Linked DNA regions of Elephas maximus indicus. The protein of the gene in region 1 interacts with the protein of each later gene in a biochemical or structural test. Links are inferred from orthologs where the notes say so. Each region holds a gene or a part of one and is shown in the gene's direction. Other genes may lie near its edges. The genes, in order: HDAC1, TOP2B, CDKN1A and PML.

Region 1 (7,177 bases):
GCACATGAATCCTGTCACATGTAACACGTACACATTTTGTGTTTTGTGCATGTGTCCTGTACTTGTGTGGGCTCTTCACATGTGTCTTGTACATGTGTGGCCTGTGCCTTTATGTTTTGGGCACCTGTCCAAGGTGTCCCTTTCTGGGCTGTCCTACTTTCTGAGACCACAAGAGAAAGGACAGAGGCCCGTGACTGACACCAGCTTCTGGCCCCACTCCCTCTTCTTTCCCCTGGTGAGCAAGAACTCCTAGAGGGCTGGGACCTTGTCTGATACCTCTCTATGCTCCTCCTTGGTGCCTAGCACACATCAGGAGCTCAATAAATGTCTGTTTGTTGATGAATGTGGTACATGTCTCTGTTCCCCACTCCCATCTCCTCGTCCTTGGGGTGTGGAGTGGGGATTCAGAAGAGGGAAACTGGATCACCCTGAATTGGTTACACCCTGAGGGAACATCTGAACTTTTTTCCAGTCCTGGTGATGCTGGGGGCCAAGGGGACGTGCCTACACTTTGCTGTATGGGCTCTCCCAATCCCTTCAAATGGAACAGTACACCTCACCTCTACCCCCATGGATTCAGTTCAATCCCCACCTGGAATTGCCTCCAGTGCGTCATTGGATCCCCTCCCTCCCACTGTATAAGGGCAATTGCATTTTTTTACAGCCAGTAATTCAAGGGCTGCATCTGGCCTTGAATATGTTTTGATTTACCTTCAGGATGTTTTTAAAAATTGAATTAGTTAATTTATTTAACAAATATGTATTAACCGTCTACTGTTCTAGGCTCATAGGATATACAGTTGATAAAACTCACACGCAAATCTCTGCCTTTGTGAACTTACATTCTAGTAAGGGAAGACAGACAATAAACAATAAACATCATAAATAAATTATATCATATGCTACAAGGTGCTAGGGGAAAAACAGAGCAGAGCAAAGGGGATTAGGAATGCCATGTTTGGGGAAAAGTTTGCCATTTTAAAGAAGGTGGTCAGGGAAGGCCTCATTGAGAAGATGACATTTGAGCAAAGATTTGAAGGAGCTGAGGGAATAGTCTGAGGCAGGAGTTTGCCTGGCATGTTCAGAGCGGTAATGGTGGCCAGAGAGAGGGAATTAAATCCTAGGACCTCGGCCTTGTGCCCTTTGCAGGAGCCATTTTGAGAAGCCTTTGCAAAGATTTGTGCAGAGCTATGATATGATCTGACTTACATTTTAAAAAGGAGCCCTAGTGGTACAACGGTTAAAAGTGGGGCTGCTAGCCAAACGGTTGGTGGTTTCAACCCAAACACCTATTCTCTGGGAGAAAGTCCTGGCGATCTGCTTCCCTTAAGATTACAGCCTAGAAAACCCTATGGGGCAGTTCTACTCTGTTACATGGGGTCACTATGAGTCGGAATCTTGACTCAACAGCAACATCACATTTTAAAAGGATGTCTCTTACCACTGTATTGAGAACTGACTGCATTAACAGCCAATGTATAAAACTGGGGAGGTTTTGAATAAAACTTCAGATTTCTGCTTTCTTTTGAAAGATAGGAAGAGTTGACCGTTTTGGGCCCTCATGGAGCTAAGTAGCGGCTGCCCCGTTTAAGTGGGGTATGAGCTCTCCCTCCCTTTTGCTCTGAGACAATGAAATTGAGTGTTAATAAGTGTTTAACATCATTGTTCTTATAATAAACAGGAAAACTAATTTTTTTTGGTATCCACATCTCCATTAAAAAGTGAGAAAATTAAAGATACCCCAAGATGGCAGTGTGTTTAAAGAAAGGTAGGAGAAAGGCATATTTCTTTACAAAAATGAAAAATGGCCCAATTTTTAAAACATGCAAACAAAGAGCATCTCAGTAAAAAAAACATAAATTTCACTCATTTACATCACCTACCTGATCTCTGGTGGTACAAGGGTTAAGCACTCAGCTGCTAAGGTTGGGGGTTCGAATCCACCCAGCTGCTGTGCTGTAGAAAGACCTGGCAATCTGCTCCTGTAAACATTGCACTCTAGAAAACCCTAAGGTGCAGTTCTACTCTGTCACATGGGGTTGCTACGAGTAGAAATCAACTCAATGGCACCAAACAACAACATTTGAGCTCTGTAGACATCTGAGTTTGTGACCCCTGTTTATAAAGTGCTGCCACACCCATAATCTCATCTGATTCCCACCCTCCTCCTGTTTTGGACACTGTGTACCGCCACAGAGTTGGTGAACTTTGTATTCTTATCCTCCCCATTTTTCAACAGGAAAATGGAGGTCCAGTAAGGTTAAGTAAACCCACCCAAGAACAGCTAAGAAGTAGCAACGCAGACCCCGGAATAGAGTTTGTTCCCTAGTTCATTGTTATTTTTATAATAGAATGAAAGGTCCAGTCTTAGATCGCCTGTAACCTTTATAATTAATGGTTCAAACGCAGTTCCTAAGTGAGAACACATGTCCCCAAACACTCCTTGATCTGTAAAGAGGCATAAAAATGTATCCTATTGACTGTAATACTAAGGGTAAGCTACCTACTTAGTATAATGCTTGGTACATAGTAAGCGCTCATTAAATATTAATGTTGTTGTAGTCGTTATCTTCATAGCTCAGCACAGTGCTTTTCACTCTTTCAGTTTCAACAATGGCCAGTTGATGATGAATTGATCTAGTGCAGTCCTTCTCAAGGGGAGTATGGTGGGTGGTTTGAGCTTTCCCTGCCCCAGGGACATTTGGCAATGTCTGCAGACATTTTTAGTTGTCCTAACCGGGGGGTGGAGGATGTTACTGGCATCTAATGGGTAGAGGGCAGGGATGCTGCTAAATGTCCTACAATGCAATGCACAGGACAGCCCCCCAAAACTAAGAATTACCTGGCCCCAATACCTCCAAGGTTGAGAAACTCTAATCTAGGGAACAGGGCAATACAGGTTACTCCTGCCTAAAGCCAAAAAAACATTAGGGAGCCCTGGTGGCATAGTGGTTAAGAGCTCAGCTGTTAACCAGAACGTCAGCAGTTTGACTCCACCAGCCGCTCCTTGGAAACCCTACGGGGCAGTTCTACTCTGTCCTGTATGGTCGCTATGAGTCCGAACTGACTGAATGGCACCTAACAACAACAACAACAAAACCAAAAAAACAAACTAGTAGCCCTCAAGTGGATTCTGCTCCAGGGTGACCCCATGTGAAGATACTCCTTAATCCTCCCGGGCGATGCACCAGCGAGGTTTCTGCCGCTTTGTTACAAAGCCTCTGGCATACAGTGGGTAGTCAAAAATTCTGTAAAAGTGAAAATTAAATTTAACAATTAATCATGTGACTCAGCAGTTCACAGAGGTCTGAACTTCATTATCTTTATCTGTAAAATGGGGATGAAAAGCCCGCTTCCAAAACTATTATGAGGAATAACTGAGAAGAGTGTGGTAAAGCTATTGCACAGTACTTGGTCTCCAGCAAGCCCTTGACAGTTTGTCATTTTATTTCTCTCTCCTCTAAACTTGCGTCCTAATTCAGGTGCAGCCCCTTCCTTAGTAGGTGACCTTAGGCAAATCACTTTTCCTCTGTGTTGTTGTTAGGTGTCATAGAGTTGGTTCCAGCTCATAGCGACAGAAGGAAACACTGCCCGGTCCTGCGCTAACCTCACACTCCCTAACTTCACACTCGTTCTGTTTGAGCCCATTGTTGCAGTCACTGTGTCAATCCATCTCATTGAGGGTCTTCCTCTTTTTCTTGACCCTTTACTTTACCAAGCACGACGTCCTTCTCCAGGGACTGGGCCCTCCTGATAACATGTCCAAAGTACGTGAGACAAGTCTAGCCATCCTCGCTTCTAAGGAGCATTCTGGCTGTACTTCTTCTTTCCTCTATAGGCCTCATTTTATTCTCTGTAAAATTACAAAATTGGCCTCTGATCTCCAAGCACTCTTCCAACGACGAAATGGGACAGCGAAGTTTACAGATCTGTTTTCCTCCCCCGGGACTAATGGTACGGTCCCCGGGCAGTTTCCCCCACCCCCTGTCGCGACCTTGGTACAGGCCCAGGGGGCCCTCGGCTGCCTCTCAGGGCTGCCCTTGCCCCCTGCCGAGTTCCGGGCCCGTCCCTGCTCAAGCTGATTGGCTGGAGAGGTGCCCGGGCTGCGCGGCTATAGGTGAGCCCGGGAGGGGACGGGCGGAGCGGGCTGGAGGCCCGCCCTCTCCCCCCTGGGTCGGACGCTGCGCGGAGCCGCGGGCGGGAGGGCAGACGGACCGACTGACGGGAGGGACGGGAGGCGAGCAAGATGGCGCAGACTCAGGGCACCAAGAGGAAAGTCTGTTACTACTACGACGGTGAGCACTGTCCTCGCGGCGGGGGCGGGGCCTGGGCCGGGCCGAACCCGGGAGAAGGAGGCTTAGGTCGAGGAGCTCTGAGAGAAGGCTGAGGCGTTGAGGAGAGGCTGAGTGAGGAGGTTGAGACGAATGAGGTCGCGACTGAGGGAGGAGGCTGAAGGAGCCAGGAAAAGGTGGAGGCTGAGAGAGGAGGCAGATAAAGGAAGGAGGATGAGGCTGAGGAGAAGAGGAGGTCGAGGCTGAAGGAGGAGACTGAGAGGAAGGCGGGTAAAACTGAGGGAGGAAGCTGAGAGGGGAAAGGAGGTCGAGGCAGAGGGAGGAGGCTGAGGCCAGAGGGAGTTGTTTGGGCGAGGACTGAGGTAGTCTTGGGAGGATTCTGAAGAAGTCTGATGTAGAGTTTGGGTTTGGGTGGTACTTTTAGAGGGGAGGCTGAGTCTGAGGGGGGAGGTAGTCTGATGGAGAAGGTTGAAAGGACATATATTCCTGCTGAGAATACACAGGTCTTTCCCTGTCCCTTATTCATCCTTTTCAGTGAGAGTCCTGAGAGAATCGCCAACTAGTGGTCACCAGCTTCCTCTCTCCCCAGTCTCTGAACAGGGCTTGCAATTGCTGCTGGGAGTTGGGGCCCCCGGGGTTGGAAGGAGAAGGATGCAACCTGTTAAAACGAACTTTTTCTTTTAACAAAAATGTGTCAATGACTTACTCTCTACTAGGTAGCGTTTAGGTCCTGGCGCCATGGGGATGATCAAGTCACACTTCCCATCTTCAGCTCACAATCTAGAGGGAAGGATAGACAATGACAGAGAATTACTCTCCAGTATTACTGTTGGGATAAAGGAAAACTCAGAGTTGAGCAGAAAAGAGACATCCAACCCAGCCTGGGGAGTCAGGGAAGGAGGTGCTGTCTCAGAACCTGAAGAACAGGAGTTAGCCAAGCACAGGGAAAGCAAAGATTACAGCAAGTTTAGGGTCTAGAGAGGACCCCCCCCCCAAAAAAAAAACCATTGGCATTGAGTTGATTCCAACTCATAGTGACCCTCTAGGACAGAGTAGAACTGCCCCACAGGGTTTCCAAGGCTGTAATCTTTATGGAAGCAGACTGCCACATGTCTCTGCCGTGGAGCAGCTGGTGAGTTTGCACTGCTGACCTTTCAGTTAGCAGCTGAGCACTTCACCACTGTGCCACCAGGACTCCTTAGAGAGAGGACAGCACCTTTGAAAATAACAGATATATGTATATAAGGCTGAGGCATAGAGTTGGGGGCAGAATGTAGAAGGTAGGGAGCAGGAATGGGGGAAGGGTTGCAAGTGAGGAGGCTGGGGGAGTAAATGGGGATCAGATCACGAGGGGCCAGGCATGCTATCCCAAGGAAGTTAGACTTAAATCTGAGGGCATTTGTGAGCGATTGAAGTTTTATTCATTGAAATTCTATCAGATTTATGCCTTAGAAATATCGCTCTGGGGCATAAATTAAATTTATGAATGTAGGGGCTTGGTAGGAGAAAGACCTCGTGAACTGTTTCTGTAAAGATTACAGTCAAGGAAACCCTATGTTCAGCTCTGTCCCATGGGGTCGCTGTGAGTTGAAATTGATTTGATAGCACCTCACAGCAACAACAACAACAACAGGGATGAGGAAGAAAACAAGGATCCCAAATTTCTAGCTTGTGCAACCTGATGGTGGGTGTGGGAGAAGGCCATGTCAGTTGATACTTTTTTTTTTTTAGCAACATCTGTTAAGATACCTGGAGACATCCAAAGAGGGATGTCTAGTAGGCAGTTGACCATTTTAATCTGCAGTTTAGAAGAGAGGGATGATAAGATAGTTTATTTAGTTGTCAGCATACATAGATGGTAATTTTGCTCATGGGAGAGAATGAAGTCACCCAAGAAGTTGTATAGGGTGAAAAGAGGATCCAGGGTGGAATTCAGAGGAAAAGGAATATTTGGGAAGTCTAATGCCCCTCATGCTCTGTACTTCTCTGTCATAGTCCTTGTCACGGTGTACTGAAATTGCCCGTTAACTTGTTCATATTTCTTACGGACAGTAAGCCTTTTAAGGAAAGGGGTTATGCCTTGCCTACCTCTGTATCCCCAACCCCCTAGTTGTGAAGGCTCTCATATAATATATTAAAACAAACAAGCAGCATGTAGCTTATAGTAGGCTTTCAATAAATATTTGTTGCATAAATTAATAAAGACACAGAGGGAGTGACCAGGGAGGTACGTGAACCAGGAAGTGCTGGGTTACAGAAACGAAAGGAGAGAGGGAGTAGTCAGTTGTTGGCAAGAACTGTTTCTGGGCAGGGGCTAGGGCAGAAGCTAGATTGTAGTAAATTGAGGAGTGAATGGATGTGTGAAGAGGAGACATCAAGTTAAATCCTTTTTAAGGATTTTTAAATCCTTTTTAAGGGAGCAAGGAGAGACAGTTGTTGATAAAGGGGAGTTGTAGTGGCTGGGAGTTGAGCGTGTTCAAATTCTAAAACAAGCCAGGCGGTAGGGAGAGGTTTAAGATATAGGAGAGAAAGGCTGGTGGCTAGTGGTGATGGAGGTTCCTGATGAGATCAGGTAAGATGGAAACGGGAGCCTTCAAGAGGAAGTTCCTTTGTGACAAGAGGGTGAGGGGCAAGGAAAAGTTTAAACGTAGGTAAATTTAAAGAGGAGAAGGTAGGGAAAATGTTGAGAGCGTTCTTAGATGAAGAGAATATTCTCTTTCCTGAGAGTGAGGGAGGACAGCTGCTGGAGTAGGAATCTTGAAGAGAGAGATTAGCTGTCGTGAAAGAGGGAGTTAGGGAAATAAATCTAGATCACTGTGCAGTGGTGAGGCCCTCTTGAGGCTGGAGCTATTTCCGTTTGTAGGATTTTATGATCTCAATACTCT
Region 2 (7,575 bases), on another chromosome or scaffold:
CATTTTTCTCCTGTCCATTATGCTCTGTTGCGATCCTTGTTAGAGAAGTCTGTGACGGTAGCCAGGTACCATGTAGTTCTTCTGGGCTCAGGCTGGTGGAGTCTCTGATTCATGTGGTCCTTTAGTCCTCTGGGCTAGTACTTTCCTTGTGTCTTTGGTTTTCTTCATTCTCCTTTGTTCTGGGTTGGATGGGACCAATAGATGTATCTTAGATGGCTGCTCACAAGCTTTTAATATACTGAATGCTACTCACCAAAGTGGGCTGTAGAACATTTTCTTTATGAACTATGTTATGCCAATTGACCTAGATGTCCCCCAGTACTATGGTCCCTGGCCTCCAGCCCCAGCCACTCGGTCCCTCAAAGTGTTTGGATGTATCTAGGAAACTTCTGCGTTTCTGCTTTGGTCCAGTTGTGCAGATTTCCCCTGAATTGTGTGTTGTCTTTCCCTTCACCAAAGCTGTTAAGTAACTTTTAAAAGTGAAAATATACAGTACTTACAAAATATTTGAAGCAATTAAATTAGTCATGAAAAGTCAGTTAAGAATCTACTATTTACCATAGAAACACTGAAAACCAAAAGGTTACAGTGACAATAGCTTTCTTCCCTATTTGAGCTCACTTCTAAAGAAATAAAACAAACTAAAATACATTTACAACATTTAGTAGTCATTATCTGGACAACCATTTATTGAGTTTACTATAGACCAGACATAGCAAATTTCTCTTCTTACCCTAGCAACTTTGTATATATTAAGGATCCATAAAGACTAACACAATGAAAGGGAGGGGTAAAATAGCAGACATTGAATCCTGAATTCAAGTTGTAATTTCTTTAAACACTTCATAGGTTACAGATTACTTACCCTCCCCCCCGCCATACTGAATCTTAATGTTGGAACAATACATAATTTAACTGTAAACTCTATTGAAACTATGTCAGAGACCTAGAAGTACAATTTTGAGTTATTGTCTTCTTAAGCTATTAAGTAACTCACTCTATGTAAAGTGCAATGTGGAAAGTATATATTCATTAAATAGCAAATAAATGAATATAAAATTGCTTTCAGACCCAGAAGACTAGTTTAAAAACATATAACTCGGGGTGTGAGCTTAAGGCAGAGACTACATCTTTATCACCTTTTTGAATCCCTAGGTCCTGAATGCCTAACACACAGTCAGCATTAAGAACCAATCTTGATTGATTGCTGCGCTGGGTAAACATGAGACCTAAAAATTCTTAGGAAGAAAGACCTGGCAATCTACTTCTGAAAAATCAGCTACCGAAAATTCCATAGAGCACAATTCTACTCTAATATACATGGGATTGTCATGAGTTGGAGGCCCCTTTACGGCAGGCAACTGGTGGTAGTGGCAGGAAGATAAACTCTCATGGTAGATACTCAGAGAGCTTGGTTAAATAAAGGCCTTTATTTTTACAGTTTATAGAACTGACTTTGAGTTCTACAATTATGCATTTTGGCTGGTGCTTGCTATGAGGTGGAAATTAAGTCTTTAAATGAAATGTATTTAAAAAAAAACCCTAACAAAAGAGTGGTAACCAAACAAGACAAACCTGATATAGAAGCTTTTTAATGTGGCAATTATTGCTAGTTACTCTGTAAAGGAAAATCGCTTGACAGTACCCCAGAAGGGAAAGCTGAGCTCAAGTTGGGTATACTCAATTTTATCCTTAAGATAGACGTGTTAAGTCTGCAGCAAACAGTTAAAAAGACCAACAGCCCTTTGGGAATTGAGATACTTTTGATCCAGGTAACTTCTTTCACATATCAAGTAATCTTTGCTTTAAAATGCAATTTGCACGTGTAGTCAATAATCTTTTTATTTGCGATTTTTTTACATCAGTGTTTTCCATAGAATAAAACAAAAAACATTTACTAGAGGCTTTTTTTTTTTTCTTCAATACTTAGAAGGCTAAAGGGCTCCATAACACCTCACCTAGGAGGCAAGTGAAAAGATAAACATTATTTTCATTAACTAGCTTATTTGACTTTTGGGTGTTCTTGTTTTAGTCATTTCCAACTCTGAAGCTACAGAGCTTTGAAAATGGAAGTTTTAAGAAGGAGAGAGCTGTAGTATTATATACCTTGGCATCTTCTTATCGTGGATATCTTTCTTTCTTTTTTTTTTTTAAGCCACAGCCTTTAAAATTATTTACCCTTTTTCAAACATAAGATATATGTATACTTTGGAGATGTAAAGCCACATTAAGTACAAGAGTAAAAATCTTGGTTTTAATGAGGAACAAACAAGGTCTTAAATAACATGGCCTTAAATACCAAGGCCATGGTTACTTAGCTGGTTAGGTTCAGAGCCCAGATTAAACCCTGGTCTGTCTGACTTTCAAGTTTGCACCCCATGTTCAAGGTAAAGAAAGGCGTCAGTGTCTGAACCAAAGTCCTCAATGTGCCAAAGTGAATGGCCACCAGAGAGCTAATTAAGAAAAACTATGTTGAAATTATTTCCATGTTTCAGAGTTTCCCACCTCTAGACTCAGAAGGCAGTTGAAAGATGTGACCCTAGACATTTTTGTTTTCCCTTGAGAGGAAACACACAATTGGGAGGGAAGTTCACAAAAACACCTTTTCATAAAAGCAGTAATACTGTTTTCATCTTTTGAAAAACCTCACTTGACACAACTCTTTGGCAGCACTCCATGCCCTCAAGTACCCATTCTGGTGTTTTCTTAGGTATTGCCTTGAGATAGTTAGCTCTTTTTAGTCCGTCTCTTCAGCCAGGTTATAAATGGCCTGAAATACCACAAAAACCCTTGTGGTGGAGTCAATTCCAACTCATAGCAACCGTGTAGGACAGAGTAGAACTGTCCTACCGGGTTTCTAAACCTGTAATCTTTATAAAAGGAGACTACCACATCTTTCTTCTGGAGTGGTGGAGGGCTGGTGGATTCTGACCACCGACTTCTCAGCAGAGCAACCTAGCGCTTAACCCTGTGCCACCAGGGCTCCTTGGCTGGAAATCAGGGGCTCTGTTTTTATGTCGAACTCATCGCAGAGCCTGGCACAGTGTGGCAGAGTGTGCGCCCAATAAATACTTGTAGAATGGAAGGCGGGGTGAATTTCAGTAAAGCCATCTTCCATCTGCCAAAGACTTGGGTGCGACTGTATGGGTAGATTTTCATTCCTAGAAAGCTTTAACCTGAATGAAATCATTCCTTGGTGTGCATCTGAAAATTTCACAGGAAAGGAGTTTAATAAGCGTGCCCTCCTAGAGGTAGCTGGCACAGCTTCTAGGTAGAAAAGTGACAGGGACTTCTCTGCATTGTTCACTGCAGAGAGAGAGGTCAACAAAGAGTAGACCCAGAACACGCACCCCACCCTGCATTCTTTCCCTGGAACGTGCTCTGTGAGTTCTGAAACATTCAAGTTCTTTAAAGGCAGTTTTCTTGAGACTGACCGTGTCCCCTTTTGGGGGGAGGGGAGGGGGGAGGGGACGGAGGTGGAGGAGGGGCGGGATTCATTCGACAGCAGCGTCCATTTGGGACCTTGGGGAGGCCGCATCAGGGGGACCCTCTTTGCTCCAGTGGTCTACAACGCTCTAGCCTGCGGTTTACAACCGCTCTTTAAAAATACTTTCCCTCTGGGACGGCCCCCGACTTCTTCCTGCCCGTCCTCCCTCCCCCAGCCGCCCCGGGCCAAGGAACGCCTCGTCTTCGCGGGCAGGTCTTTGAGTGAACGACACGGTCGAAGGATTACAGTCGCCCCGAGTCCAAGTCGACCCTTTGGCTCTGTCGCCCTCCAATGACCCCTGACAGCGGCCCCTGTTCCCCCTCAAACGGAAAGCCCGCAGCCACACACACAAACAAAAAACCCTAAGTCTGCCTCTCGGTTGCTACCCGCAATGACGTTTCCCTCTCGGGTCCCGCCCCTCCGCGGGCCTGGAATTTCGGGATTGGCCGAGAGGCAGGGCGGCGAGGCCCGGATTGGGCGGCCGGGCGCTGAGTGACAGCGGGGGCGGCCGCTGCGGCCGGCGCGCCTTCCCTTCCTCCCTCCCGGCTGCGCGAGCGACTGTGTGTGAGGGGTGTTATGCCGGACGCGAGGGAGGCGGCCGTGGCGGCGGCGGTGGCGGTGGCGGCGGCGGCTCTGTTTATTGTCCCCGTCGGCGGGTGGATGTGAGGAAGCCGGGGCTGCAGCGCGGCCGACGCGGGCAGCCTGTGAGGCGCGGCGGCGGCGGCAGCGAGCGCGAGCCCCGAGCCGCCGGCCTCCGGGGAGCGTGAGGAAGGACAAGGAGCCTCCGTCCCCGCCACGTCCGAACGCGCCCCTCGGGCCCCTCGGCTGGCTGCGGCGCCCGCGAGCGAGCGAGCGACGACGACGACGCGGAGGAGCAGGCAGCGCTGCCGCCCCGCCGCCCCGGCCTCCTGCGCTTCCTCTTCCTCAGCCGCCGCGCTAGGCCCAGGCGACGCGGCCACCGCGCCTCGAGTTTGAGGGCGGCGGGCGGCGCGGCCTCCTCGGCGGCTCGGCCGGGCGTCCGCCCCGGGTCTCGGCGATGGGGCGCGGGGGCCGGCGCGGCTAGGAGCGCGGCGGGGAGCCGAGCGGTCGGTGCGGAGCAGCGGGGCGCGGCGGCCGGCGGGGCGGAGGGAGCGGCGGCCGCGGCCTCGGGGCCTGGGAGCCGGAGCACCCGCCATGGCCAAGACGGGCGGCGGCGCGGGAGCGGGCGACGGGGCGCTGAGCTGGGTGGTGAGTAGCGGGCGGCGCCGGGGCGCCAGCTGGGTGCGCTGAGCTGGGTGGCGTCGGGGCGCCGGGTCCTTGGCGGGCGCCGGGGCGGGGGTGGGGGGCGGGGAGCTGGCGGGCCCCGAACTCGCGCCCCGCGGGCGCAGCCCGCCCCTTTCCTTTCTTCTCTCTCCTCCCTGCCTCCATGGAGGCTCAGGCGCTGGGAGCCTACTGTGCACTTGCAACTTTGGGGGCCAGACCGTGGACGTGACCTGGGGCCCCGCTCCCCCCTTTTTCCCTCTCCCCCCGAGCCTTCCTGGGCAGTCGGCTGTGAGTGCACGGGGAGGGCGACAGTGCTGTGTGTCCCTGTGGTCAGCATTTTCCCCGAACGTGGTGCACGAAAATCCCGGGGAAAGGGGTGTGCGCGCGCCTGGATGCTCAGTGCAGCCGTGCCTGCAGCGCTCGTCTCTCTCGGAAGAATGGTTTTGGCGGGGCAGCAGTTTACACCTGGATTGGGAAAGCCTGTTTGAATGGAAAGCGCACTGGGGATTGCAGTCTCTCAGCAGTGGCTGGACGGTAGATGGTCCAGTGTCAGGCTGGGATTATGAACGGAAGCGCTCACCTGGGTCAGCAGCGCAGGTGAAACGGGTGGGGGCTGCACGGCGTGTGCTGGGAGGTGACTGAAGGGGCTGAGCCCTGGAGGGAAAGGATTTCGGCGCCGAGGTCCTGCTGGGGAGTCCAGGTAGCGGAGGGAAGACCTGGAGAGGCCCGATTCCCACGGCAGATCGATAATTCGCTAGCATTTCACTTGCTCGGCCCTGAGTTCAGGCCAGGGTCATTTCCTACACGGAAAACCTAGCTCAGCCAGCGGACTAGGTGCCTAGCAAGGGGTGGGGCTGGGGGTGAGGGGGAGGACACGTTACAGTACTCAGATTTTTGAAGCCCACCTCCTTTTTTAAACAACCCAGGGAAACTTTTCTATTGGCATTTTTGTTATTTTCTTCATTTTCCCTTTACTTGGGTGAGGTTTAGGCGAGTTGACTGGCAGCTGTTCCTTTTTGACAAGTGTGTCGGTTCTTTGTAACTCTGTTGCTCTCTGTTACTCATAGCAGAGAAAACATTTTAACCATTTTTGTTGGAGTGCCAAGGTGCCTTGCAAAATAACTTGCCAGGCTTATTGTCCATCTTTAGATTACTCCAATAATGTAGTATGAATGGACGAGCTAAGAGGGATAAAATGTCAGATAATTAATTAGTGGTCCGTGTGGACGTGGCCACGGCGGAGCGAGGAGAGGGACTGCGTAAGTGCAGAAGAATGATTTTAAATATTGATGGCCCTTACTGAAATCAAATAACATCTGAAAATGGAGGTAGCCAGATGGCATTGTGAGTTCTCATTACTATTTGGAAGTGTTAAGGCCTGATCAGTGTTTCCTCTGAGGCTCTCTGATTCTGTATTGGTAAATATTTTGCTCCGAGATCACATTGTTTGGCTTTAACATCTGGTATTAGTATTTTAATTTACTGTGATTTAACTTTGCAGATGAGTAAATGACCACGTTTTCTTTCAAGCTCAATAGGAATCTTTCATTTAGTGAAATAAGAAATTTAGTGAAACTTGGAGGGTCTCATTCAACATTAAAAAATTTCATTTGAAACTAAAATTGATTCATTGATAAAAGAAATAGATACATGCTTATTTTTATGTTCGTATTTCTGTTTTTTATAAATTATGAAAATATCTTGAAAACGAATTATTTTTAAGTCAGGGTATTCAGGTTCAGAATATCTTCTGTGTGGACAGCTCAGTGGTTAAAACCATGAAAAAAATTAACTTTTAAAAAATATAGATGTATTTGTTACCATTGGCTACTTTTAAGTGAAACTAAGTGTCTGAACTTGTATTAAAACTCATGATTGGTGTTCATATGATCTTGTAATCTGCTGTGGTTATCTTAATTTTTTTATATTGAATTTCTAATTTGCTGGAAAGGTAGAGAAGTCTGTTTTATATGGTTCAGTTACATGGCAACAACAATAAAGTATTAATAGAACTATTGCATATTAGTAAATTAATAGACTTGAAGATACTGTTGTTTTTAGTGTTAAGACTAGAACTTGAGATGCATTTTTTATTTTCTGTGACTAAGATTGGCTATTTGCCAATCTTGTATTCTATTGAACTTCTAAAATTCTATTTTCAAAAGATCTGTTGAATAACTTTTATTTTTTGGAGAACAAGGAAAGCATTTCTCTTTTGACCAAGTTCTGTAAAAAACCCAAATTATTTGTAGAAACATCAAGGACTAGGGTACATATGAAAAATTTTTTTCCTGGAGGTTTACCCCATGCCCATTTCTACTGAATCAAAGTTTAAACATAAGTATATAGTTCTGTTTTAGCAGGATTAAAAGATGGAATTTTGATGGTTATGCTAAATAGTTGATAAGGCAAGGAAAAAAATAATTTAATTTTGATCTAATAAAGAATAACTTTTAGCTCTAATCCCTTCCATATTTTGTTTGGATTTTGGAAGTATAAAATATTACTAAAAAGTTAAACATTTCAGACTTTAGTCATCTTTTTGACATTGGGAGGTAAATCTTGGCTTTATTCCTATGTGGTATTTCTTTTTATTATAAAACTAATTATGGGTAATATGAGAAATAATGTAAAACGAAAGAAGTACAAGTCATATAATCTTTTATTTATATTTTCTTCATATTGAATTAGAAGTTTAAAAAAAAGTCACTACTACAAGTTCACTTTAAGATTTGATGTTTCCTTTAAATCTGTAAAGTCAGATTATATGAACATCTTTATATCCATATATACATCATTGATCATAGACTGGTTTAATTTTTTGGGAGGCAATGTAGTGAGGTAGT
Region 3 (7,800 bases), on another chromosome or scaffold:
AAAACTGAATCCGTTGCCATTGAATCGATTCCAACTCACAGCAACCCTATAGGACAGAGTAGAACTGCCCCATTGTGTATCCAAGGAGCGCCTAGTGAATTTGAACTGCTGACCTTTTGGTTAGCAGCCATAGCACTTAACCACTAAGCCATCAGGGTTTCCGGGAATGGTGCAGTGGGAGTTTTTTTTTTAAATGAATGAATGAATAGATGGATGACTATTAAAGAGAGGGCTCAGAAACAGGGGCACTGAAGCCTCACCTCAGAGTGTAGGCCAAAAATGGCCGTTGCATAAATATTCACTGAGTTCCAAGCTGAGGCTGCTAGGCCTAGAAGGTACAAAGATGAATAAAATATGAGCTCATACCCCCACCCCCAGGTTCCCAGCTCAGAGGATGCACTCAGCACGAAGACCAAGCATGCCAGCACAGCGTAGTTGAGAGGCTTGCACCCCAAGAGCGTTGGAAGCCAAAGGGAGCCCTAGAAGACCTCACCCCCAAGGGGCATGTGGGTTGGATCATGAAGGATCAGAAGGAGTTCAACAGGCAGAGAAAGGAGTGGAGGTGAGGTAGACTGGTCAGGGAAACCCATACCAGGAAGAGAGAACACTATGATCAAAGAGACAGAGGGGCCCTTTGCTCCTCAGGTGGCCTCTGTCCATAGCATTTCCTTGCCTCTTTCTAGTCCCTAAAGGAACTCTGGTGGTTACAGCGCTTGGCCGCTAACTGAAAGGTCAGCAGTTTGAACCCGCCAGCTTCTCCGTGGGAGAAAGATGTGGCAGTCTGCTTCTGTAAAGATTACAGCCTTGGAAACACTGTGGGGCAGTTCTACTCTGTCCTATAGGGTCACTATGAGTTGGAATCGACTTAGCGGCAACAGGTTAGTCCCTAAATGGTTAAGTCATTCACATTGTGCTGTGCCACCCAGAACCCCTGAAGGACCTGGTCTGGAGTGTTGGCTGTTAATACAACTGAGTCCTTCTTCAGGAATTGGCCTCAGATAAGGGAGTTCCCTTGCCACCCCTCTGTCCCCACAAGCCACTGGTCACAGTAGCCCCCTTGCTTCAATTCAGCAACTCTGCAGAACCACCCTAGTTCTGGAGCTTCCAGCGGGATCAGCCTTCACCACAGCCCAATTCCTCCTTCTGCTGGATCCTGTTTCCTTTACACCCTCATAGGTGTTGATCCTGAATGCACTTTCCAATAAACCTCCTGCATGAAAATCTCTGCTCAGAGTGTGTTTTCTGGGACACATACCAAAGACACTCACAAAAGTGCAAATGATTACTAAACTCCAAGGGATGCCTTCTCTCAGAGTGTTTGTCCTATAGCAGTAATCATAATTAAAATTTGTGAGGTGATTTCACTATGCTGAGCACTTTTCCTATACGATCTTATTTAACAAAGAACCAAATCTAAGTCAAAGGAATTAATTTCTAATGGCGAAATTTCAGGCTTTGGCTAGTAAGCTAGGGAGACTAGAAGTATTTGTATGGCACAAATTCTGTCACAATTTCTGTGCCTCTCTGTATGGTCAGCCCTGACCCTTGTGCTGGTTGCATAAAGCCCCCAATCAGGTGAGGGTGGGGGCTCCCAATCTCATTCTTCTTAAAAAAAAAAAAAAAGCAGGGCTTACTTATTCTGCTTGGTGGTGTAATATCTCTGCTCTGCTTCTTCTCTGGGGTCTCGCTTCTTGGGACTCTGTGTGGAGCTGAATTCCTCTGAAAGCTGGCTGTCCCTGTTTTGGGACTCCCCAGACCTCTTCTGAGAAATGGTGACATTATCCCCAGCACTTCCTCTCCTTTCCTGGGTAGCTCCTGCAGCCACCATGGGGCCCTCCTCACATCCTCTTTCCTCAGGCCTGTGCTTTCCACCTTTCCCTTCCATTATCTGGAGCCTGCTGGGTGGGGATGTGGGGTTGGCCTAGACCCTCCTGTCTTCTAGGCTGAGACTCCTTCCATCCCTAAGCTGCTTGCCTCCTGGGGAGCATGCCTGGGCAGCAGGCAGTGGCCCCCATCGGCCCTCTGGCCCTTAGGGACATGTCCCAACAAGTTGAGCCATGGCATAGAAGAGGCTGGTGGCTGCTCTCTATTTTGGGGTGGGGAGGGTGTGGTAGGAGATGGGGAACCCCCAGAGACCCCAGAGAGATCTTGGCCTTCTTGGTCAGAGTCTTCCTTCAGGGGCCTGAGTTTCACTGAACAAAAAATGTGGTTTGCAGTACACTCCAGAGAGATCTTGGCCTCCTTGGGTCAGAGTCTTCCCTCAGGAGCCTGAGTTCCTTGGAACAGAAAATTTGGTTTGCAGTAGATTTCTTGGGATTGGTCTGGGAACTGGCACAGCTGTGTGTGTGTGTGTGTGTGTGTGTGTGTGTGTGCGCGCGCATGCATGCATGCAAGGTGAGAATCAGCTCTTGTGACCTCTAACAACCTGCTCCTTTGCCCTCTTCAAGACAGAAATCCTCCCTTGAAGGATGTGCCTGGCTACATGCTGCAAACATTTTTTTTTTTTTTTTTTTTAACGTACCTAGTGCTAGACACTTAGTAGGTGCTTACTAAATATTTGCTGAATCCCATTATGGTGGTGGTGGGGAGCTAGAAGCTATTAAAAAATTCACTTCCCAATAACAACAACAAAAAGAATTATTTCATTGTGAATCTCAGTACCACAAAACTGTAAATAATTCAATATAAGCCTTCATTAAAAAAAAAAAAAATTCCAAAGTAAACAGACAGATAATGTCAAGTCTATCTGAAATGCCCGAAAGCTGGGGGGATTCAAGGCAGCTGGGGAATGTGCTTGTCCTCTATTGGACATTTGACAACCCAGCACTTGAGTGGTGTAGGTGGAAGGGAGGTGGGGGCAGGTGCTGGGGGGTGGCGGCCCTGGGACCTCAACTTCTCTGGGACCCTCCTGAGGTCCAGCGACAATTCTGGCCTGACTTGAGGTCCAGGCAGAGTTAGGGGTCTGGGGCAGCACCCTCCCACTTCTACAGGGGCTCCCATCCCAACACTAGAGGAAGAAGCCTGTTCCCTGAGGTCAGCTGCTTTAGAGGAAGAAGACTGGGCATGTCTGGGCAGAGATTTCCAGACACTCAACAGCCCGAGATGTCAGTAATTACAGCCCTTCCAAGAGCCTGGATTCTATTTTTTAATGGGATTTCTCTTCAGATTTACACTCCATTCTCTGCAATATTAAAAAAAAAATTTTTTTTTTTTGTGGTAAATAATAGGTAACGTTTGCCATTTCAGCAGTCTTCACATGTACCGTTCAGTGACACGTTCATCATGTTTTATAATTTTTTTTAAAGCACAAACTGCAAATGCATCAGGGGAAGGAAAGAGGCAAAGGTGGGGTGCAAGGGGGGCTAAGGTGTGAGGGTGAGTGGGAATGGCTGGACATCTCACGTGGCTCTGTATCTGTCAGAAACACCAGCGGACACTTCCAGAATTGTCTGGCTTTAATGTTACCTCAGTAAGCTGCCTGCAAATGAGGGGTCCTGCAGAGTCCCTCCCCCCACCCCCCATTCTAGAGTCACCGAAGCAGAGAAGGCAGCAGGCAGAAGCATGGCAGGAGGTAAAAAACCTGAGTTCCAGCCCTGCCATAGCCATTTATTTATTGTGTGACCTGAGTTAAATCACTTAGATTCTCTGGGCAACAATTTCCCCCACAGGAAATGTGAAGTGTGTGTGGGAATATCCAGGAGATAAATCACCAAATCCTTCTCCCCTTCTTTTTCTTTTTTTGATTTGGTAGTTGTGGCTAAGAATATACACCGCAAAACATATACCAATTCAACCACTTCTACACGTACAATTCAGGGACACTGATGACGGACTTTGAGTTGTGCAGCCACTCTCACCCTCCATTTCTGAGTTGTTCCCCCATTAACATAAACTCACTGCCCTCTAAGGTTCCTATTGAATCTTTCCAGTTGCTGCTGTCACTTTGATCCCATATAGGTACTTCTTAAAAGTGTGTAATGACCTTCTGCCCTTCTTAAACATCAAGTCTGCTGTAATCAGTGGTTTCTTCTGTTGAGGTGAGAAGCTGGGAGAGGAACAGGCGGGGAGGTTGGTTCCATTTTCCGATTTCCTGGAAACCGTGCTGGTCCTTCTGAAGTGTCCCCAGTTCCCTCTTTCTCTGAGGCACTTGACAAGCGCCAGCTCTGTACCCCTTAGGTTTACTGGGCCTGTTTCCTCATCTTGAAATAAAGCAGATCGAATTCTGTTCTGGCCTCAAGGATGCTTGTTAGGGTGTCTGGTTGCCCCAGCGTGCATCAAGGAGAGGTGGTCTAGTGAGAGCTCTGTGGGAATTGTGGTGGGATAGTGAGGCTTTTCTGGGAATTGCAAAGTGAGGTACATAATTTTTATTATTTATGGAATATTATTTATTAATGCCATTCCTTGTGATCTTTTCAGCTGTGATGGGTAAGTCCTTGCCTGGAGTCCGCCAGCGGGGGGCCAGGAAGAGGGAGGGGGGGTCCTCCTAACTACGCCGTCCTGGTCCTGCGAAGCGCCCACTCACTCTTCAACTGGAAAAAGCCGGGTTTGTGGCTCAATTCGTGGAGAAATGTGTAAAGCGCGCAAGCCCAGGAGCGACGGGACGCGCCTCCTGCAGCTCCCGAGGTTCCGAGACCTACAGTTGTCCCAGGGCCTGGAACCCCGCCCAGACTCGGGCGCGGAGCCGCCCGGGCCCCCGGGGAGGGCGGTCCCCGGCGCGGTGGGCCGAGCGGCGGGTCCCGCCTCCCGAGGCGTGCCTGAGCCGTGGCTATATATCAAGGCTGCGCCAGGCAGCACCAGCTGAGGTGTGAGCGGCTGTTGGAGTCAGTGGCTTGGACACCCGGAGCCGGGCGCGGATTCGCAGAGACAGCGAGCCACTCAGACGAGGTGAGGGAGCCGCGACAGACAAGAGCAGACCCTGGGCCGGCAACTCTGAGCTGAGTGTGTCTGCGTGTGTGTCCGGATGTGTCCGTGTGTGTGTGCTGCGTCTACAGTTGTTTCTGCGGCAGGTGAATGACAGGCGTGTGTCTGTGCGCTGGGCTTTGCGCGCACGAGTGTCTGTAAGTGCGTGTGACGGGGGTCGGGATGTATTGGGGCCTCAAGGCGGGAGGGAGGGCACCAGTACTGGGGATCCTCTGCCCGCTCTCTTCTCCCTGAAACTCTCCTGGAGCTAGGAAAGGCGTGGGTGGGGCCGTCCTCGGAGCTTGCGGCTGTAGGGTAGCCCCCCTGACCCCCCGTGCCGCTTGGCTCTCGTCGTGGTCCGGAGGCCCCGGCCGCCGCAGGCCGTAGGGGGACGCCGGGGGAGCGCTGAGCAGGTTAAAGTGGGCTCCGCCCCGGGGCCGCTCTCTGGCTTTCGGACCCAATTCGTGCCGCCAGGACCCAGGCCCGTGAGGTCCAGATCCCCGACGCCGCCGTGCCCGACACCCCTTTGGCGCTGAGGTCAGCGCGGGCTGTGTCCCCGGCCCTCGGGAATGTGCCAGGACACGTCCCTTAAGAACAAGAGAGGAGGTGACTCACGGTGACAAGGAGACCCCGGGGAGCGGGCCGGGTAAGATCAAAACCCCGCCCGGGCGGGGGGCGGGCGCCCCAGAAGCCTTCCGCCCCTCCGCAGTCTCAGTCCCCCATCAACACAGTGACCTACTTGGCTGGCACAGCGTGTTCCCGGGGAAGCCGGGGCACTGGAAGGTCCAGGACCTGGGGTCCGGCTCCTGCCGCGCGGCGCGGGTTCTCCGTGGGAGAAGCGCAGGGGTCTCATCTACCCTTTTCGCACCGCCGTCGGGAGAACCCCGCCCAGCCTGTCCTCGGGTTGGGACGCTGGACTCCGGAGCTGGAGCCGGAGCTGAGCCCACTCCAGGGTGGGCGGTGGGAGGGGGCGCATCTTTGCGGAGTGGGAGGTGGGAGGGGGCGCGTCTTTGCGAGATGGGGCTTCCGAGGGTTCAGATGCTGTCCAAGGCCTGTGTCTTTCGGGACTCGGATCCAGGGACTCGAGGCGCCCCCGGCATAGCCCCAAACTCCCTCTCCGAGGGCCAAAGAATTGAGCGGGGCAGAAGGGCGAATCGCGCTCGGGCGCAGCCACCCAGGGCGGACCACGGACCACTGGCACCATCAGAGTCACTTGGGGAGCTGTCTTGGGCGCCCGGTGGACCCTTGCACCCTTCTCGTGCGGAAAAGTATCTTGTTACTCGGTTTGGTACTTTGGGGCACCGGGGCAGCTCCCTCCCTGTCTCCCTCCCTCCACGTAGCGATTCGGGGAGGACTTTCGAGCGGTTTTATTTTCGTTGTTCCCGTCTATTTTTATTTTCCAGGGATCTGACTCATCCCGTGCTTTGGGCGTGGAGATAAGGTGGAGGGCCAGATCTTGGCGCGCCTGTGCGTGCGTGCGTGCGTGTGTGTGTATGTGTGTGACAGAGACGGCGCGAGAACGCGCGGTTTCCCAACAGCGGCGGGGGTTTCGGAAGCCGGGCCCGCTTAGAGTGACGTGTTCGCGGCCCCCGGCCCCTCCCTCGCAGTCTCCTCCTTCCCTACGCCAGGGTGACGCGCAGCAGGAGTGGAAGGGGGGTTTTGGCTGGCGGGAGCGCTTTGCAGGAAACTGACTCATCACAATTTGTCCCTCTCGCTGTCTAAGGCTCTGCCCACGCACCTCCCACCCTGCGCGTGATTTCCTGGAGATCAGCGCCCCCTCCCGGCCTTGTCTGGAATAGCAAACATCCCTTCCAACGGAATCAGGCTTCGCCCGCCTTTCCTTCCCGCCGCTACCCCTGGGCTGCTCCAACCTTGTTCTCCCCATACCGCCACTTAAAAAGAGTACCCCATTGGTTCAACAGTATTTACTGAGCGTTTACTATTTACCTGGGGATTAAAATATGGCTGAAGTGTCACACTAGGGTTTGGTCTAAGACACGCAGCCCAACGAGGGAAGCTCTTCTTCTTTGTAAAACGAGGGTTTGTGTTTTTTTCTGAGCTGGGAGTTATGATACTGGGCGTGAAAGCAGATTTTAATGGGGAAGGAGAGGCCCATAAGAGCCATCAGGCAACGAATGGTAGAAGGGGAGAGGGATCCTGCGGGACCCATCTTCAGCTCCTAGAAGCCGGGGAATATCCAGCTCACCGTAAAGCGGGCTCCTCCTCCTTGTGCCATTGGGTCGTGGAGACCCAGAATCCCCACTCCAGCCTTTCTGTGCGCCTCGCTGTCACCCCAGGGGAGCCCATCAGACCCTCTTGGGGAGCTGCACCAAACACTTGCTTGAATCCAGTCTGGATTAAGATGGTCTAGGGAAGGAGCACCACCAATGTGTGCTTTGAGAAAGCCCTCCAGGTAAGCCTGCTGGACATACCTGGTTAAGAAACTTCAAAACTGGAGAAGGAGCAGGGTGTAGGGGCTGAGAGCATAGAACTCAGGGCAGACACGCCTGGATTCAAATCTACTTGTATCCATTGTAACCCTGGGTATATTACTTAACCTCTCTGAGCCTTGGTTCCCTTTTCTGTGTAAAGGAGCTAATATATACGCATGTGCTCGGAGGATTAATATTTGTAAAGTGCTTAGACCAGTCCCTGGCACATAAAAATATATAAATAAATCTCACCCCCTGCCCTGAAGAGAGCCAACAAAGATTATTCGATGGATTTGCCCACGGCACCGTTGCCCCCTTTGTGGGACAGAGGCCCTTTCCTTTTTAACTGTGTGATTTCGGAATAAGTTTCATAGCCTTTTGAGCACCTGCCCTTTACACCCTCCCCAGTGAGCTGAGACTTAAAGTTGTTTCTCCCTGTTCATTGTGAGAGGTGGGGGGTGGGGTAGAT
Region 4 (7,832 bases), on another chromosome or scaffold:
ACTTCCACGAAGGGATTTGCTGTGAGTAGCCAATCAGTTGGAAGGGAGTTTCCCTTGGGGTGTAGCCTGCATCCAATATAGGCGGAATTTCCGGCAAGGCTTTCGGGTTTTTGCTTACTCTGGATCCTGCAGCTGGCACCTGTTCATCTGACCTTCAGTTCTTGGGATTTGAGCTAGCAGCCGATCTACCGCTCTTGGGTTCACCAGCCCCTGCAGCTATATGAGTCAGGAGAAGACTTCAGCCTGACGCATGAACTTAGGATTTCCCAAACTCTACAGCTGCATGAGCCACTTCCTTGATATGAATCTCTCTCTCTCTCTCTGTATGTATATGTATGCATGTACAGATAGAAATATATACATATATATATATATACGTTGTTGCGGTTGTTAGGTGCCGTTGAGTAGGATCCAACCCATAGCGGCCACATGCACAACAGAATGAAACACCGCCAGGTCCTGCACCATCCTTAAAATCATTGTTATGCTTGAGCTCATTGTTGCAGCCACTGTGTCAATCCACCTCGTTGAGGATCTGCCTCTTTTCTGCTGACCCTGTACTTTGCTAAGCATGACGTCCTTTGTCAAGGACTGATCCCTCCTGGCAACACGTCCAAAGTATGGAAGATGCAGTCTCGCCATCCTTGCTTCTAAGGAGCATTCTGGTTGTACTGCTTCCAAGACAGATTTGTTCATTCTTTTGGCCGTCCACAGTATATTCAATATTCTTTGCCAACACCACAGTTCAAAGGTGTCAATTCTTCTTCAGTCTTCCTTATTCACTGTCCAGCTTTCACATGCATATGATGCGATTGAAAATACCATGGCATGGATTGGGGCACCTTGGTCTTCAAAGTGACATCTTTGCTTTTCAACACTTTAAAGAGGCCCTTTGCAGCAGGTTTACCCAATGCAATGCGTCTTTTGATTTTTTGACTGCTGCTTCCATGGCTGTTGATTGTGGATCCAAGTAAAATGAAATCCTTGAAAACTTCAATCTTTTCTCCATTTATCATGATGTTGCTCATTGGTCCAGTTGTGAGGATTTTTGTTTTCTTTATATGTTGAGGTGCAATCCATACTGAAGGCTGTGGTCTTTGATCTTCATTAGTAAGTGCTTCAAGTCCTCTTCACTTTCAGCAAGCAAGGTTGTGTCACCTGCATAACGCAGGTTGTTAATGAGTCTTCCTCCAATCCTGCTGCCCCGTTCTTCATATAGTCCAGCTTCTTGGATTATTTGCTCAGCATACGGATCGAATAGGCATGGTGAAAGGATACAACCCTGATGTATACCTTTCCTGACTTTAAACCCATCAGTATCCCCTTGTTCTGTCCAAACAACTGCCTCCTGATCTATGTAAAGGTTCCTCATGAGCACAATTAAGTGTTCTGGAATTCCCATTCTTCGCAATGTTATCTATAATTTGTTATGAACCACACAGTCAAATGCCTTTACATAGTCAATAAAACACAGGTAAACATCCTTCTGGTATTCTCTGCTTTCAGCCAGGATCCATCTGACATCAGCAATGATATCCCTGGTTCCACGTCCTCTTCTGAAACTGGCCTGAATTTCTGGCAGTTCCCTGTCGATATACTGCTACAGCGGTTTTTGAATGATCTTCAGCAAAATTTTCCTTGCGTATGATATTGTTCTATAATTTCCACATTCAGTTGGATCACCTTTCTTGGGAATAGGCATAAATATGGGTCTCTTCCAGTCAGTGGCACAGCGGTTAAGCGTTTGGCTGCTACACAAAAAAAAGGTCAACAGTTTGAATCTGCTAGCTGCTCCTTGCAATCCCTATGGGGCAGTTCTGCTCTGTCCTACAGGGGATCGACTCGAAGGCAATGGGTTTAGTTTTGGTCTAAATATCTCTTGGCATAGACGAGTGAGCACCTCCAGCGCTACATCCATTTGTTGAAACATCTCAATTGATATTCCGTCAATTCCTGGAGCCTTGTTTTCTGCCAATGCCTTCAGAGTCCCTTGGACTTCTTCCTTCAGTACCATCAGTTCCTGATCATATGCCACCTCTTGAAATGGTTGAACATCGACGAATTCTTTTTGGTATGAGTCTGTGTATTCCTTCCATCTTCTTTTGATGCTTCCTGCGTCGTTTAATATTTTCCCCATAGAATCCTTCATTATTGCAACTCAAGGTTTGAATTTTTTCTTCAGCTCTTTTAGCTCGAGAAACACCGAGAGTGTCCTTCCCTTTTGGTTTTCTATCTCCAGTTCTTTGCACGTCATTTTAATACTTTACTTTTCTTGCGCCACCATTTGAAATCTTCTGTTCAGTTTACTTCATCATTTCTTCCTTATACTTACATATACAGAGTGTTATGGATTGAAATGTATCCCCAAAAAATGTGTGTCAACTTGGCTATGCCATGTTTCCCAGTATTGTGCGACCGTCCAACATTTTGTGAGCTGATGTGATTTTCCTATGTGTTGTAAATCCTGCCTCTATGGTGTTGAGACAGGATTAGAGGCAGTTATGTTAATTCGGCAGGACTCAATCTATAAGATTAGGTTGTGTCTTAAATCGGCCTCTCTTGAGATATAAAAGAGAGAAGTGTGCAGAGAGACAAGGAGACCTCATACCACCTAGAAACAAGAGCCAGGAGAACAGTGTGTCGTTTGGACCTGGGGTCCCTGTGCTGAGAAGCTCCTAGACTAGGGGAAGACTGATGACAAGAACCTTCCTCCAGGGCCAGCAGTGTGAGAAAGCCATCCCCTGGAGCTGGCATCCTGAATTTGGACTTCTAGCCTCCTAGATTGCGAAAGAATAAATTTCTCTGTTAAAGCCATCTACTTGTGGTATTTGTGTTATAGCAGCACTAGATAACTAAGACAGAGAGAAGCGCTTCACTCGTTTAGCATTTCCAAAGAACCCAGCCTAAGACAATGGATTAAAAAAAAAAAAAAAAACTTCTCGGAGAATAACAAAGAAGCTAATAGCAGGGGGTACTTGTTTGGAGGAAGGTGTGCGAAGTGTCTGGATGGGGTCAGGAACGTGAGAAATCATTTTCTTTGTGCCTTTTTAATCTTTAAAAAATTTTTGAGCCATGTGAATGTATTAGCTATTTAAAAATTAAATAATTATTTTAAAATAACACCAAACCAACAAAAAAACCCAGTGCCGTCGAGTTGATTCCGACTCATAGCGACCCTAGAGGACAGAGTAAAGCTGCCCCATAGAGTTTCCAAAAAAACACCAATATTAATATATATTAACACATCAACATAGCATAAACATTTTAAAAGTACTATTCACCAGGTTGTCTTGAGGAAAAAAAATAATATATAGGCAATGTTGAGTCCAATACAGTGACACATACAACACCCGATAATGGCCACTATTTTTGTCCCCTCCCAAAATCCCTGCCCACATCCCTCTCATACTTTAGGTTCCAGTTCCCCAAATTGAAAGTGCCCACGTGCCTCTTCCGCCTGTACCCTTGCAGGGGCCTTCCCCTCTGGCCGACTATCTTTCCCCTCCTCTTCTCTCATGGCCCACTTAGCCTCAAGTCTCAGGCATCACCTCCTCCAGGAAGACTCCTGTGATTGACATAACCCTCATGCTCCCTTCCTCCATGGCAGTCCTCACCCTTTGTGGACTCCAAGGTTTGCTTAATCCTCCATAGCCCAGGGTCCTTGAGCCTATGCACTCCTTTCCCCTGTAGTGTTGCCCTGGCCAAGAAATGAACTCTCTCCCACACCCTCCTCACCCCATGTTGGCTGGGTAGGTCCTGTCCTCTACCCACACCAAACCAAAACTAAACCCATTGCCTTCGAGTCGATCCCCTGTAGGACAGAGCAGAACTGCCCCATAGGGATTGCAAGGAGCAGCTAGCAGATTCAAACTGTTGACCTTTTTTTTGTGTAGCAGCCAAACGCTTAACCGCTGTGCCACCACCCACACAAATATCCAGAAAAGTTTCAGTTTCCCCTAAATGTTACGTTGCTCTTCTCAAACCCACAGAGAAACTCAGCAGTTTCAGTTTCTCCTAGGTTTTGATCTCATCATTCCTGTCTCCCCTGGCTCAGCCTGGAGGGGTAAGTGCTATCTTCTGGCAAAGGCACGGCAAAGGCACGGCTGTCCTGGTGAGGATCTGCGGGGCTTCCTGTTAACGCTGTGCCTGCTGTGTGCAATAGGGATGACGGAATACATGAATCGCTCACTCGCGCAGTTCATGGTCCCTCAGGCAAGGCAGGCAAACATTAGGAACACCTAGGGACCAAGCACTGCCATCCCCACGGGGCCTCAAGGGGCATGGGAGTGTGGCTGCTGGGGATTGGAGGGAAGACTTAGTCCCAGCTGAAAGGGGCCAGTAAGGGTTAGAGGGCACAGACAACCCCAGCTGGAAAGTTTCAGGGCCCGGAAACACCTGTAGATGTTCCAGGCTTGGGGAGAGGGCGCCCTAGAGCTAAAGCCTGAATCCCCATGGCCGTGAGGTCTGCGCTGGGCCTTAGGGAGGTGCCTCAGGCACTGTGGAGACACACAGGAGGAGGGAAAACGCAGTGCCAGGCAATGGCTGGAGCAGAGGGGCAAGCTGGACCAGCCTGACCTGGACAAAGAGGGAGCACGCCCTGGGAGGGCCAGGCCTGATTCCAGAGGACAAGCTGAGCTTGTTCCTCAAAGGAGACACTCATTTAGCTCTGATTTTTGTCTGTTTTTTTCCGTAACACTCTCCAGGAAGTAAGCTTCATTTCTCAGGACTAGAGAAGTCGGAGGCCCATCTCTGGGGCCTCTGGGGCTGGGGCACTGAAGAGAAACCCACTGGGCCCCTGGGGCCAGGCCTCAACGTCTATCTGTGTGCACCCCTTCAGCCAGTGGAGAAACAAGCAGTGACCCTGGGTGGCCCAGGAGAGGATGATTGCAGCCCAGCCCCTCTCCTTAAGGTGATGAGCCCCCCGCCCTACCCCTCATTAGGTCCAGGTGTTTGGGGGCCCAGTTTTGACCTGCCCATGCCCCTCTCTCCTAGTAAACCTGTACCTCCACCATAAAGAGGGATAACAGAGTGACCCCCTGTCCCACCCTCCTGCCTGTGGGAGGAGTCAACACTTGGAGTCACTCAGCAAAGAAGGGCACAGCAGGGGTATCTGGACCCCCGTGGCCCTGGCCCAGCAGTAGGGGCATTGCCTCATGGACCCTCCTAGGCTACTCCCACTACATCCAGTCTCCACTCCTTCTCTCTTCTGATTGTAAACACATTTATTTCTTTTGGAGGTTTTCAGGCCTCTGGCTAGAAGCACGGGAACAGCAGGGCTTCCCTTCATGCTGCCCTGGGTCCCGGCCCATCACGCATGCAAGACGGCCGGTACATGAATCAGGTTATCCTCAGGAGCAGGGCCAGGGGAGGAGCAGGCCCTGCTCTCTCCCATCCCCACCCTCCAACTAGCCTGGGCCTGGGCTGCACCCAGGAAGGCGGGCCCAGCCCGGATCCCCAGGTGCCTCCGCTGTAGTGAGTGCTTCTCGGTGGCTGCCTGGCTTCTCCCTCCCCCAACCCTTTCTGCACCCCTCCTTCTGAGCTCCCCCAGCATTCCGAGCCGGAGCCACACAGTCTGGCCCCTCGCTCAAGGCTAAAGCAGCTGCTGCCAGGCTGTTTCTGTGGTCCTGGCTTCCCAGCCAGGTAGGCAGCAGAGCAGGGCAGGCCCATCCACACTATGTACCCAGCTCAGGGGATGGGCAAAGGCTTGTCCAGGGAACCAGTGTTGCAGGCAAGAAGGGCAAAACAGCCTGGTTTGGCCTCTCTCGGCCTCCGCTGTCTGCCAGCCTCTGTCCATTGGCCCCAGCTGGGCCTGAAATGCCAGAGAGCCTCAATTCTCCAAGGTGCATCAACAGTGCTGCCTCCTCCTCCAAGAGGCCTTCCTGGCTTGGCACCAAGCTCGAGGCTGGGCTACAGGTGGTCAGCTGAGGCTGCTGCTACTTCAGGGCCCTGAGGACAGCCTCCAGCTTCATGGCCACGGCCAGGTCACCCTTCACCTTCAGCCGCCCGCTCATGTAGGCCCCCAGGGGCCGTAGCTCCCTACAAAGCAGGGCCCGCAGGTCCGCCTCGGTCATCTCCACCAGCACGTCAGGGATGCCATCAGGCACCCCACGTCCCACTCTCCCTCGCCCTGTTGGGGAAAGAAAACGGAGTGTTAGTGGGGTGATTACCGGGATGGGGGAGGGGTGCTGCTGAATTCCCCTGCTGACCTATTCTGTAAAATGGATCTTATCCGCAATACAAAAAGCCTTCCCTCCATCTGTTTCAGAACTGCTGGACTGCAGGGTTATCACGTCCTACCGGGAGAGGGGAAACCCTGGTGCCAAAGATGTTAAGTGCTACGGCTGCTAACCAAAGGCTCGGCAGTTCGAATCTGCCAGGCGCTCCTTAGAAACTCTAGGGGGCAGTTCTACTCTGTCCTATAGGGTCGCTACGAGTCGGAATTGACTTGACAGCACTGGGTTTGGTTTTTGTTTTGGACTGGGAGAGGTGGAAAGCAGTGGTTGGAGTTGAGGTGCTAACACCCTGGGTTTCAGTCCTATTGGCTGTGTGGCCGCTCAGAGCCTCAGTTTCCTGATCTGTGAAACGGGGATGATAGCAATCCCTAAATCATAGAATCAGGTGCAATAACACACAAGAAGTGCTTCACACAGTGCCTGCGACACAGTAGGGCCACAACACACGCAGGCTCTTGGTGTGGGACGCCTGGCCCTCTGAGCTGTACTGCCAATGGTGGGGGGCCGAGCCTGGACAATCATTGTCGGAAAATGGCATCTGAGCCCCAGACTGCCATTTGAGTTCACCCGAAACTGCTGGCAGGAGTAGGAGACAGTCTGAAAGAGGACCACTGGGGGTGGGGGGACCTACAAGCAACCTGGGTAGGAAAGAAGGGCAGGCAGGCTGTCGCACCTGTGGTGAGGTCCAGGAAGTAAATGTTCTGGGTGCCACTGGGCATGATGACATTGAACTGGTAGCAGGCTCCGACCTGGCTGACCAAGGCCTCAGACAGGAAGGGCTGCAGAGCAGTCAGCAGCTCCTCAGCCACAGGCTGCTTCAGGCTGGGCCCAGCGCTGACACTGGGGGCAGGCAGCTCAACTTCACTCACCATCTCCAAGGTGTCTGCTGGGGAGGGAGGCAGAGAGGAGGGAGCAAAGGTCAGTGTGCTGCCAAGGCCAGGGCACTGTGGCCTCAGTACCTGTGTGCGGCAGTTCCCCTCATAGCCCTTTCAGGCCTCTATCAACTTCCTTCTCCGCTAAGAAGCACCCCCTGGGTTCCAGCCCTAATCCCCCAGCCAGCTCAACCTACTCCAGCTTTGAGTATAAGACTCGTTTCCCAGCTTCCCTCTGGGCCCTGTTGCCTCCCTCCCATGGGGGTTCCCAAAGGCCTCCACACTCCCAGACACCTGGACTCTACTCACTGCCTTAGCTCTGGTCAGCTCTAGCATCAGGGCTGCTTGAACAGCTGTGCAGGGTGTGCCCTGCACAAGTGTGCCTGGTTAAGGAAGAACGTGGCCAAGTGCAGCCTGAGCTGTGCTCTGCTTGCCAAGCTGAGTGCTCTGGTGCAGGGCCCCATATGCCCAAACTAGATGCCTTTTTCTGTCTCCATCAAAGGTGCTGTATGAGCTAGAGAAGCCCTGGCTAGCACCAACCTCCCACAAAACACCCTTCTCCCCACAAAAAGTCTCCATTTCCTCTCTCAGCCCAGGTACATGAAGAGCGGCCTCCTCTCCCCTACCATCCTCGCAGGGCTCCTCACCTGGCCCCGGGGGCAGGGCACCTCCTGCCACTGAGGACATGCCTCCTCCCAGGAAGTGAAGGGCCAGCTGCTGGAGGGTG

The links.
Region 2: the proteins of HDAC1 (region 1) and TOP2B form a complex in vitro, tested with the Homo sapiens proteins (2 studies listed by BioGRID). The link is inferred for Elephas maximus indicus from reciprocal best matches to the Homo sapiens genes HDAC1 and TOP2B.
Region 3: the proteins of HDAC1 (region 1) and CDKN1A form a complex in vitro, tested with the Homo sapiens proteins (2 studies listed by BioGRID). The link is inferred for Elephas maximus indicus from reciprocal best matches to the Homo sapiens genes HDAC1 and CDKN1A.
Region 4: the proteins of HDAC1 (region 1) and PML form a complex in vitro, tested with the Homo sapiens proteins (2 studies listed by BioGRID). The link is inferred for Elephas maximus indicus from reciprocal best matches to the Homo sapiens genes HDAC1 and PML.

Annotation. Positions count from the first base shown.
Region 1 is NC_064821.1:73,172,521-73,179,697, forward strand, and holds the start of HDAC1 (histone deacetylase 1), read left to right. Parts: upstream 1-4,164; 5' UTR 4,165-4,246; coding exon 4,247-4,295; intron 4,296-7,177. UniProt on the Homo sapiens protein: Histone deacetylase that catalyzes the deacetylation of lysine residues on the N-terminal part of the core histones (H2A, H2B, H3 and H4).
Region 2 is NC_064845.1:13,895,194-13,902,768, forward strand, and holds the start of TOP2B (DNA topoisomerase 2-beta), read left to right. Parts: upstream 1-4,565; 5' UTR 4,566-4,660; coding exon 4,661-4,714; intron 4,715-7,575. UniProt on the Homo sapiens protein: Key decatenating enzyme that alters DNA topology by binding to two double-stranded DNA molecules, generating a double-stranded break in one of the strands, passing the intact strand through the broken strand, and religating the broken strand.
Region 3 is NC_064819.1:100,349,571-100,357,370, forward strand, and holds the start of CDKN1A (cyclin-dependent kinase inhibitor 1), read left to right. Parts: upstream 1-4,793; 5' UTR 4,794-4,884; intron 4,885-7,800. UniProt on the Homo sapiens protein: Plays an important role in controlling cell cycle progression and DNA damage-induced G2 arrest. Involved in p53/TP53 mediated inhibition of cellular proliferation in response to DNA damage.
Region 4 is NC_064831.1:64,098,093-64,105,924, forward strand, and holds the start of PML (protein PML), read left to right. Parts: upstream 1-4,826; 5' UTR 4,827-4,909; exon of another isoform or gene 4,910-5,933; coding exon of another isoform or gene 5,934-6,127; intron 6,128-6,906; coding exon of another isoform or gene 6,907-7,119; intron 7,120-7,752; coding exon of another isoform or gene 7,753-7,832. Other genes in the region: STOML1 (stomatin-like protein 1), read right to left, coding at 5,934-6,127, 6,907-7,119, 7,753-7,832.